Linked DNA regions of Caenorhabditis elegans. The protein of the gene in region 2 interacts with the protein of the main gene of each other region in a pairwise test. Each region holds a gene or a part of one and is shown on either strand. Other genes may lie near its edges.

Region 1 (5,713 bases), on a different chromosome or scaffold from region 2:
AAAATATTTCCCAGATTTCGGTACTCCACCTACTATGAGTGACAACTTGATCGAAAATTAGTATGGCAGCCTCTATTAGTTTTGCACTCTCCAATAGTTTTGCATCTGATTAGGTGTTCGAAAATTAGTACAGGGTGGTCCATAATTATGGACCATCCTGTACCATTGGTAGCATACGGGTTGATGTTTGAACCACTATATTTATTGGCTACACATTATTGTTATGTAATAAAGCTGGACCAGGAAAAATAGTTTATGTAGTTTAATACATTACTAAACTATTAGGTCAAGGAATAAGTTTTGTCGTTTTTTCTCAATTTTGATTTTTTCTCAAATGTTTTTTTTTGTAGTTATATAGAAGACTGGTAGGAATGACAAGCCTATCAATATCAGTCATATCAGACACCTTTAAGAATATATCCAGCTCAAAACTGTGACAACGAAAAAAAAATTTTTTTTTTCGATTTTTTTCATTTCTTTGTGAAATCAAAAAGTTTACATGCCTTGAGGTATTAGACAGTTAGTTAATTACAATTGAGCAATAACAGCTCCAGACGCCCTTTTTTGGTAGCGCTAGATATGTTTAAAGTGCCAAAAGAGCTAGATTACAACATTATTTAACAAACGCATCAATAGCTACATTTTATTAGTTGATCACTTCTTTGAATATGCACTGGTTGCTGAGCTACGATGATTTTTGTGGAGCTGGTCCAATTTTTCAAAACCCTTTTCTATTCACTATATGACCCGTAACTCCAAAACCAGTTGACCGATCGAAAAATGAACAACTAACAAAACATTTATCTGTTTATTATAAACATTTCACAATTTAAGTTTTTTTTTAAATGTATCTCTTGCGGACAACGATATGAGTCACTTTAGGAAATGTGTGAAAATTTGAAAAAAATTTCGAAAAAACATTCAAAAAAAATTGAAAGGAAATTTTTTCTTAGATAAACTTCTAAATACTTTTGAACAATACTGTGTACCTGCTAACTAAAAAATTGCATTTAGTTTTCCTAGTCTACGTTACTTTTTGGGGGAGAAAAATTCAATTATTGAACAATTTTCCTATTTTTTCAAAAACTACGAGTATTATTTTTTTAATGGCTATTAACTTTGCGAACATAAGTAATATACAAAATGTACAAATAATTAAATGTTTATAATAAACAGATAAATGTTTTGTTAGTTGTTCATTTTTCGATCGGTCAACTGGTTTTGGAGTTACGGGTCATATACTGAATAGAAAAGGGTTTTGAAAAATTGGACCGGCTCCACAAAAATCATCGTAGCTCAGCAACCAGTGCATATTCAAAGAAGTGGTCAACTAATAAAATGTAGCTATTGATGCGTTTGTTAAATAATGTTGTACTTGATTACTTTTTTGTATCTTTCACGTGCTTCAAGTTAACGCTGCTCAAAGTTAAAAAAGTCATTTTTGCAGGCACTTTTGGCACTTTAGACACATCTAGCGCTACCAAAAAAGGGCGCCTGGAGCTGTTATTGCTCAATTGTAATTAACTAACTGTCTAATACCTCAAGGCATGTAAACTTTTAGATTTCACAAAGAAATGAAAAAAGTCGAAAAAAATTTTTTTTTTCGTTGTCACAGTTTTGAGCTGGATATATTCTTAAAGGTGCCTGATATGACTGATATTGATAGGCTTGTCATTGCTACCAGTCTTCTATATAGCTACAAAAAATATATGAACCAACTCCGTCACATTTGCGGTCGCCGGAGCCGTGGGAATGACTATGCTTCATCATTCATCGAAAATCCGTGCAAATTGTCGCTTTTGGAAAACATTCCGCGCTCTAGTTGCCGCCAAAAATTTGTCGCTCAAGGTGTCCGTGGGGAGGGGATGGAAGCTAATCCAGTTTTAGTTTCAGATTCTTCTGTTTTTGGTTTTAGTGCTCCAGATTTGTCAGCTTGTGATTCTGTTGGTTCTCGATCTGCTCGTGAAGTGTTCTCGTCGGTTGCCGGCAATGCTCGGAATGCTACTTGTGCAAATATAACTACGATTCATGTCACGGAGAGCAAGAGTTCGTTGAAGAAAAGCCACAGAAGACGTCGCCGTGTGGCTAAGAGTCGCCAATCATATACTGCTGGAAGTTCGCCAATCAAAGAAACCCATCTGGACCCCCTGCTGGAATCCGATGTTGCGAGTGACGGCGAGCGTTTACAACCCGGCATCCTCCTGTGTCATTCTCTTCGACAGAGCCACCCACGACAAGTTGTGCGAGGATCAGCCCCAAACACTGATCATGCCTCCACTCGCCGCAGAGGTCGAGATACCGCCTCTGGTGGTGATGCCCCTAGCCCAGGCATAATTTCTGGCTTTTTGTCATATAAGAGGGGAGATGTTGTGGACGGAACGTAAACCTGAACTTTATACAGACGTGACCTTTGGGTCATCATGAACTTATCGCGTAAGCGACCTCTCTTTATAATTCATTACTTCTTACACTTCTTGTAATAAACTACTTCTCTCCTTGTCTCTCGCTCAATACACAACAGTTCATTGTTTTATCGGATAGCCTGTGAAAACATGAACCTTCCCGGCTAACTGGTGTTGCTGTGTTTTTTTTTTTGCAAATCGATAAATGTATTAATTAGCGATGTACCTGAAAATCCGAACAGATCAAGATGAAAGTAACATCTGCTCTTTTCCCACATCTTCCTAGTTCATACTGGTCCCGCCTACATGGAGTACGACACCTGGTCAATTTGCGCGTTCTGTTTCCCTTTATTGGGGTCTCTCATTTTTTACACAATATTCTTGTTTTTTTCACTTTATTTTTTCTTTTTTTTTTGGTTTTTGAATATCCGTGTAATATTATTATTTTACAGAAACTCGTTAAGTCGATTATGTCCAACGTTCCAAAGGCAGACAGTTATTTGGAGAGACAAGAGCATGGGTTAGTATTTTTGAATTTAATAACACTTTTGGCTCACATTTTGTTGAAATTGTCAAGTTCATTTTTAAATGTTTGCAGTTTTTTCAAGATTTCCCAAGCCTAATTGGAAGATTTTTGGAAGATTCATAAGACTATTGGAAAGTATTGGAACCAAATCTTCGGACCGAGAATTTGAAAATCTAAACCTAAGGAACTAAGCCTTCGTGATCCAAGCCTAGGGACCTAAGCCTACAAATCTAAGCCTAGACGACTAATTCTTAAGACAAAAGCGTGTTAATCAAATCATAGGGGTCTAGATCCAGGGCTCCTGTGGACATATGCCTCCGGATTTAAGCCTAGGGACCCAAACTTGAGAACTAATCCTAAAAACCGTGGACTGAAGACTTAAGCTTAGTAGTCCGAACTTGGGAAGTAAGCCTGTGAATTTAGGCGGCCAAGGTATCTAAGCCTAATAGTAAGGGACCTAAGACTAAAAACCTAATTCTAGAAAATTAAGAATTTGCGCCTAATCATAAATGCTTAAGCCTAGGAACCTAACGGACCCAAGCAAAACGATCTAATAGTAGGCCTATGCACCTAACCCTAGGGGCCCTACTGAGCTAAACTTAACGATATAAGCCGAGAGACATAAGCCTAGTGACCTCTGAATTACACTGTAAACAATCCATAGATCCACTTTTTCAGTTCAACTCTCTCCGAATTCATCCAATCCTTCGAGGAACAATACAACATCAGCATCCAAGAACTGATTGATCTTGCGAAAACTAAGTAAGTATCGAAAACTTTTTGAAACTATTATATGATCCTAAATTTCAAATTTCCAGTGCTGCCACCACCAAAAAGAGCACAATGTCCAGTGAAATTCAAGAAAAACTGGATATTTTAAAGAAGCAAGATGATCAACTCCGTGATGCTCTTGACGAGGAGCTGAAATTTCTTGGAAATGATGATCCACAGGAGCTTGCTGGTACCAATAAGGAAGTTACAGTGGATGATGCCTTGAAGTCGCCCGAAGCATCTGATGATTCGGAGTCAGATGCATCCGACGAATCAGAGTCAGAATCTGAATCCGAGGATGAATCGGAGTCGGAGGGTTTTGACGAATCTGAAGATGAAGAGGAAGTACCAAAGGAGACGGGTACATATGCCTTTGAATCAAAGCCCGAAGCTTTAGATGATTCGGAGTCAGAAGCCTCCGACGTATCAGAATCTAAAGATGAATCGGAGTCAGAGGGTTCCGACGATTCTGAAGACGAAGAGTATGTAGAAGAGACGTGTACAGATGCCTTGAATCAATTGGAACCAGAGTCCGATGCGGCTGATGAATCGGTGGAAGAAGAGGAGGAGGAAGACGAGGATTCCGATGATTCCGATGATTCCGATGACTCCGAAGAAGAGGAAGCAGAAGGATCAACCGCCCAAGCTCCAGCAGAAAAAGCAAATTCGAGCACAACCACGACCGACCAGAACATAGGAGAGCTAAGCGACATGGAAGTCGCGGGACTTGTGCTCTTAGGGATTTTGATGATTTTACTAATGGTCTTTTTTTAATTCATTGGTTTTTGTTTGAATTTGTTTGAAATTGTTTTGTTTTCAAAGTTTCCATGTTTTTGTTCAATCAGCAATAAATATGCATTGCTCGCAATTTTGGAGTTATCTTTAAAATGTCTTGTTGGTTTAAATGCTCCTAAGCCTTCATCGATTTACACTGTCAACTTTGAAATAAAAACGCCTTGTGAGGTGTCCAATCTGTGATTTCCTCGAATTGAGTGGGAAGATCACACGTAAGAAATCTCAAAAGGCATTTTTTTTTTGGATTTAGTAAGAGTATAGCTGTGAATAATAAGTTGTGGAGTTTCGAGGCTGTATGTGTCACGTTCTAAAATCAACAAGTCCTAATTAGCCTTTGCACTTTGCCTAGTGATGAGCGACAAGAGATATTCGTGAGGTACGAGAGATATCAAAACTAATGACAGCTTTGGACTTTGCTTATTTAAAACTTGTGACTTGAAGCTGAAGTTTCACGTGGTGTCAGGCTGTCCCATTACGGCTTGATCTACAAGAAATGCGGGAACTTTTCTCCCAGACCATGCGCAATCAGTTGAGAACTCTGCGCCTCTTCTCCCGCAATTCTCGTAGATCAAAACAAAATGGGACTTTCAGGAGTTTCAGGAGAAACTTCAGGTTTTTTATGACTCAACTGCTTGAAAAGTTGAAGTTGCACTATCCAGTAAAGCTTAATGCCGAAAAGAAAACCCGCTACTGAAATTGTTAGGTGCCACAGTTAGACATACTTGGGACCTTTTTGACGAAGTCTTGGAGTTCTGCAAAACTGCAACCTAAAGTGTGACCTTCCTTAAGAAGAAAAGAAAAGCCTGTCGAGGTTTCCAAACTATGATTTTATCAGTTTGAGTGATAAAATCATGGCATGAAGACCACAAAAGGCCACTCTTTCCAGTAATCAGCAGGGGTAATAGCTAGATATGAATAATAAGATATGGAGCTTCAAAGCTCTGTGGTTGTGGAAAAGAGAGACGCAGAAAGTGCTAGAGTCACGTTTCAATCAATGAATTTTAATTAGTAACGAAAAAGTAACGACGTGATAAGGGATAAGATATGAGGAAAAGAGTGAGATTTGCTGCTGGGTTATGTTATAATGAACAATGCAATCCAGATCCAGAATACGTAGCTAGAATTTGTGTGAGACATGAAAAATGTTGAGAAAAAATTTCATTGTATTTGAAAGCTAGGGGGCGTGCTTTTATATAGTTTATCGGATCATTTGATAGTG
Region 2 (5,842 bases):
TATCAGTAAAACCTCTGAAAAACGCTTACTTTTGACAACATTTTTGATCGAAACCACAGCTAAGAAACAAAACAAACTAAAATCTACGCAGTGACGATGATTTCCATCTTGTTTTCCAACATTTTTAAAGGTCACGTTTTTTTTTAAATTAGACATTTTCTTAGAATTAATTTTTGATGAGAAATTCAAGGGAAATTCAATTTTTCAGACAATTTTTAGCGGGAAATTCAAAATTGCATTCAATTTTTTAGCAGGAAATTTGAATTTCCAGTTAATTTTTAGACTTTTTTTTACAGTCAAAAACTGATTTCTTAGCGGTACTGTACTATTACTATAAGGCTTTTGACTGTAGACATACCTCGTGAATAATCTCCGCCTCAGTCTCGTACTTTTCAGCTTTTTTCAAAAGCTCCCGAGCTTTTTTGTAATTTCCATCTGCCTCAGCGGCGTAGGCGTCCTAAAGTCCAAAACTGTAGGTGCACTACCTGTCTCCGCCCCCTTTCGCTCACCCTTCTCGCCTGCTGAGCCAACCCGTCAAGCCAGAATTCGCGGAGGGTCGGGTCCAATTCCATCTAACATTTGCCGATTTTTGAGCGGGGCTAAACCGAAAGAAACCCTACCTCATCGTAAAAATTTTTTTCAGACATTTTATAGCTGAAAATTTGGAATTTTAAAGAGAAAAAACACCTTCTGAAAAAGACTCACCTTTAGAAATCAGGAAAACATTGAAATAATTTCAAATCATCATTTTTGTTGGTAATTTGGGTTTAACGTGAAATTTCATTTTAGAAAATTTGTTCTGAGCCATTACTGTAGGCACGAAGAATGCCTGCCTGTAGGTAGGCAGGCCTGTATGCTAAAAATGTTTGCTTCAAAATTGACTTTTTTGTTTTAGAATGCACAATAGGGTAAGCTCTTATTTGACCAAGATTAGTCTTGGTAGGCGAAAAAATGAAACCAAAAAACAATTCTCTAGTAATTTTTTATATCAACAAGTAGAATTTAGTTCTCATAGAGTCCATTGAAAAGTTTCGAAAAATCGATTGGCGCCAAGTACAGAAGAATTGCAAGAACAATTGGAACAATGCAGATGAGAGCGAATTTTGGAACTGATGAAGTTATCTGTGGAGAAGTAGTGACGTCATCCATCTCATCAGTCTCGAGAATTTCAGATTCGAGGTCCGAGTCGGTGCCATCATCGCTTTCAGGCTCAGAAGTGGGGCTGTTTTTGACGTTCTGGAAAAATTCACAAAAATTGAGGGCTTAAATTTATGCTTAGGCTCAGGCTTAAGTTCAGGCTTAGACTTAGGGTTAAGCTTAGGCTAAGGCTTAGGCTTAGACGTAGGCTTAGGCTTAGGTTTTGGCTTGATCGTAGGCTTAGGCTTCAGCTAAGGCTTATTCCCTCGTTTTTTTTTGATAGACCGCAGACAGTTAGAGTGTTTTACTGTCTACGGTCTCTCGCCCCTCTCAACACTTACTTCGTCATTATCTGAATCATCCGCCACCCATTGGCCAATTATCTCGTCTTCCATTTCGATCTGAGAATATGAAAGTGAGAGAAGTAAAGCGAGGTGAGAGAAACAGAGAAACGAGATACTATCGTCGTCTGCGCTCTCTCTCTCCTCCTTTCCTCTCTTGGAAAAATAGCCGTAACTCTGTCAGTTTTGAAGCAAAATCTACAAAAGCTATATTATCATAATCAGGAAAAGCTCACCTTTCTAAAATACATAATTGTGTCTTTGACTTCCGGGTCAAGACCCTCCAAATCCGAGTTGCGAAGATTCAAAATTGCTTGATGAGCATTCTGAAAATTCGTCTTGTAGTTCTAGAAGTTTTGGGATTTTTTAAAATCTCTTACTTGATCCAATTTCAGCATCATTAACATCTCTTGCTCTTCCTCCGAAATTTCCTGTAATTCAGTTACATCTAAAAAAAAAAGCTTTTTTGAAGCCTACCGCGCCATTCTCGTCTTGCTCCACAAGTTTTTCCAGATTTCTCAGTTTTTGCAGCGTCTGAAAATTGGATTTTTTGTTGTACAAAATACGGGTTTTTAGTCTAAACATTTTTTTTCACTCTGAACAGTTTTTGAATAAACGTAAAAATTTCGAAAAAAATCGATAATTTTCAAAAAAAAATTTGTGTATTGAGTTTTTTCCAAATTTTCAAAAAAACATCGCTAAAAATCGATAAACGTAAAAATTCTACAAAAAAAATAATTATTTCCAAAAAAAAACCGAAAAAATTATCGATTTTTTAAGTTAACATTATAATTAATTTCTTAAAAATCGATAAAAAGTGTGAAAAATCAATTTTTTTGGAAAAAAAAGTTAATGATTTTTTTCCAAATTTTCAACAAAAAAAAACCGAAAAAAAATCGATAATTTCCAAAAAAAAAAACACTAAAGCTCTAGTTAATTTCTTAAAAATCGATAAAATGTGTGAAAAAAATCCATTTTTTTTGGAAAAAAGTTATTGATTTTTTCTCAAATAACGAGAGCGCAGACAGTTAGAGTGTCTAGCTGTCTGGGCTCTCACTGCCTCAACTAACCGCCTTCTGTCTCTCCCGGCACACATCAATTCTTCTCATAACCTCCGCCATCTTCTCATAATTTCTTCGCTGCTCGGCTTTCGGCAAAGTCTGAAAAGAGCCGTTTTACCGAAAATAAGGGCTTCCATGTGAGAGCGGCCGACAATTTCGGGGTTCCCGCGCCGCTCTGTACATGTGTCACGAGTGGCAGCGTGAGGCGGCGCCAAGTAGTGCAAAATTGCAGTTAATTGGCAGCGGCCGATGCTTTTGGGGTTCCGCGCCGCACTCTATACATGTGGCTTGGAATGTGGCTTGTTGAGGCGCCTCGAAGGCCGGCTCCCACATAGAAGCCCTAGCTGAAATTTAAAAAAAACCATACCATATCCATCCAGTATTCAGAGTTTTCCATCAGCTGAAATATAGTCAGTTTTTGGGCGCAAAACTGCAAAAAATGCAAACTAACCTCGTTCAGAATATCGTCCCAAGTCTCATTTTTGTATTTTGCAGGAACTGCTTGTCCAGTTTTTGGCATTTTACTCGAAGCAACCGTCAAAAATCGAAATAAATTTTTTTCAAATTTAAAATTCGAGAAAAAAGTTCCAAATATGCCCACGTGGATCCAACAAACTCCCTATTTTTGTTAAAATTCTGGTTCACGTTAAAAACTGCAGTTAAAACTGCAGTATCTACATAATTACGCAAAAGTTACTGTATGGGTACTGTAGGCGTACTGTAGGGGTACTGTAGTGGCTAATGTAAAGGAACAGGTTTTACTGTAGGAGTAGGATATAAAGTAGTGGTACGATGAGGGGTACAGTAGAGCCACTTTAAGGGTACTGCATGTATACTGTAGGCCTGTAGAAGTACACTGTAGGGATACTGTATGGGTACTGTCGGAGCTAATGTAGAGCCACTTTCAGCTTATTGTAGGGGTACTGTACTGGTACGGTGAGAATACTGTAGGGGTCCTGTAGGTGTGCATGCGCGTTTATTAACTAAGAACAAAAACATTATTAAGATTATAGACGAAATAGAACAAAATCGTTAAAAGCACCGGAGAAGAAATTAAGATCATCAGTTGAAAATTGGAGAATTCTCGCGAAATTCGGGATGCTTTCCAGGTTTGAGCAACTTCCTGAAAAATCTTTTTTAGTACTGTAGGCAAAGTGCAGAGTTATTGTATGGATACGGAAGGGGGGGGGAGTACTGTAGGGGAGGGGTACTGTATGGGTACTATAGGGGCACTGTAGGAACGCTGGGTTTGTGTAGGGGTACTGTAAAACTGCCCAACGACTACTGTAGACGACATACCTCGTGAATAATCTCCGCCTCAGTCTCGTACTTTTCAGCTTTTTTCAAAAGCTCCCGAGCTTTTTTGTAATTTCCATCTGCCTCAGCGGTGTAGGCGTCCTAACTAACGTAAACTAACTAACGTAACTAACGTAAAGTCCTAACTGTAGTGCACTCTACCTGTCTCCGCCCCCTTTCGCTCACCCTTCTCGCCTGCTGAGCCAACCCGTCAAGCCGGAATTCGCGGAGGGTCGGGTCCAAATCCTTCTGAAATTTGCCATTTTTTGGGCGGCGCTAGGCGGAATGAAACCCTACCTCATCGTAAAAATTTTTTCAGACATTTTATAGCTGAAAATTTGGAATTTTAAAGAGGAAAACCTTCTGAAAAAGACTCACCTTTAGAAATCAGGAAAACATTGAAATAATTTCAAATCATCATTTTTGTTGGTATTTTTGCGGGTTCACGTGAAATTTTATTTTATCATATTTATTCTAAACCTTCACAAACTATGCCTGCCTGCAGGTAGGCAGGCCTGTAGACTACAAACACTACAAACTACACAGAAAATTTATTCAGAAAAAAAAACCGATAAATTAAAATCCCAAAAATTCAATAATTTTGAGCTCAAAAAGAGCAAAATACAAGACGAATGCAATGAAAATCGGAGCAATGAGCCAAAATTTAGAAGTCCGTGACGTCATCATTTCCACAATTTCCGTGTCATTTTGAAGATTTTCAGAATTTTCAGACAAATCCGAAAACTCGTTTTCCTCTTCTTCGCGTGGATTACACTGGGCTTCCTGAAATTTTAGATCAATTTTTGGCGGTAAATTCAAATTTTCAGTCAATTTTTTCAGCGTGAATTTCAAGTTTTCGGACAATTTTTGGCAAGTTCTGTGAAATTCAGTAAAAAAAAACAAGAAAAAAAAATCACCTTCTCCTGAAGCTCACTCATTTTAGGCAAAGCTCTGAAAATTCTAATCAGAAAAAACTTGTAAATATCGATTTTTTGTTTTAAATGTTTTAAACTGAAAACATGTTCACGTAAAACAAAAGAATTAAATTCAATTTAAAAACAAAAGAATTCATTGAAGAAAGCCCAAAAAAAGCCAATTTAAGTGAAGAGCCAATGTGGATGTCGAATTTTTGAGCAAGTAGAGTATGACGTCACATCTGAAAATGAGATATAATAGTTTTAGATTTTCAGATTTTTCTTTCAAGTACCTGATCACCGCAAAATTGCAAAAAATTGAAAAAAAAAAATTTTGTTCCCGTTTTTTCTATTTAATAGAATTTACTAACTTCTCAAGTTTACTAACTTCTCTTGCCGGAAATTTTCAATTCGAGCAACTTGCCGATTTGCCGATTTGAGGTTTGCCAATTTGCTGGAAGTTTCTAAAAGGATTTTTCAAAAGACGGTTACCCTTAAAACTGTGCTTTTTCGAAATTTTTTTCTATTTTCTCTATATATTTTAATAGAAATTACTGACTTTTCAAGATAGATGTAAGGTTATTCATATGTTGTTTTTTAAACTTTTAAATTTGAAATTCCGAAATTTCAGGGCGAAGGTGTAAGCATGCCGTTTTCTGGTAAATCAGAAAACCGGCAAATTGCCGGTTTGCAAGTTTGCCGAAATTTTTCAATTTTGGCAATTTGCCAACTTTGACGTTTGTCGCCCAGCGTACACCGCCACAAGAGGAGGAGAGTCAACTTATTGATTAGTTTTCCCACGTTTCGGGTGGCCCCTGCATACAACAACACCTCCCCCTCCACCCGAAAAATAGCGCATCCATCAAGAATCGATACTTTTTTTTGATTCTCCTTTTCTAAACAGCCTACCTACCCAAATTGCTATTTTTTCTTCCAAAATGCTATTCATTGAGCCAAGTTTTGAAAAGCTCAACGCCGAAGCGTTTGGAAATCCAGTTGTGCGTAAGCTCTCGACTGTAAATGTCTTGGCTCTGACAGCTTTCGGTCTTTCTATGGTTATTCTCAGAGACGTTTTTGAGCTCGATTTTCTTCT

What was found. The genes of interacting proteins can lie anywhere in the genome.
Region 1: the proteins of W04E12.4 (region 2) and Y71A12B.11 interact in a two-hybrid assay, tested with the Caenorhabditis elegans proteins (one large-scale study listed by BioGRID).

The regions. Positions count from the first base shown.
Region 1 is NC_003279.8:13,975,575-13,981,287, forward strand, and holds Y71A12B.11 (RNA polymerase sigma factor RpoD), read left to right. Parts: upstream 1-2,855; 5' UTR 2,856-2,872; coding exon 2,873-2,922; intron 2,923-3,606; coding exon 3,607-3,690; intron 3,691-3,746; coding exon 3,747-4,473; 3' UTR 4,474-4,556; downstream 4,557-5,713.
Region 2 is NC_003283.11:19,740,882-19,746,723, reverse strand, and holds W04E12.4 (Kinesin-associated protein 3-like), read right to left. Parts: upstream 3,083-5,842; 5' UTR 3,060-3,082; coding exon 2,991-3,059; intron 2,940-2,990; coding exon 2,907-2,939; intron 2,639-2,906; coding exon 2,549-2,638; intron 2,013-2,548; coding exon 1,956-2,012; intron 1,910-1,955; coding exon 1,859-1,909; intron 1,805-1,858; coding exon 1,715-1,804; intron 1,539-1,714; coding exon 1,479-1,538; intron 1,237-1,478; coding exon 1,003-1,236; 3' UTR 971-1,002; downstream 1-970. Other genes in the region: W04E12.5 (TPR_REGION domain-containing protein), read right to left, coding at 359-457, 510-572; W04E12.3 (uncharacterized protein), read right to left, coding at 4,412-4,618, 4,753-4,773; W04E12.2 (Cytochrome b561 domain-containing protein), read left to right, coding at 5,688-5,842.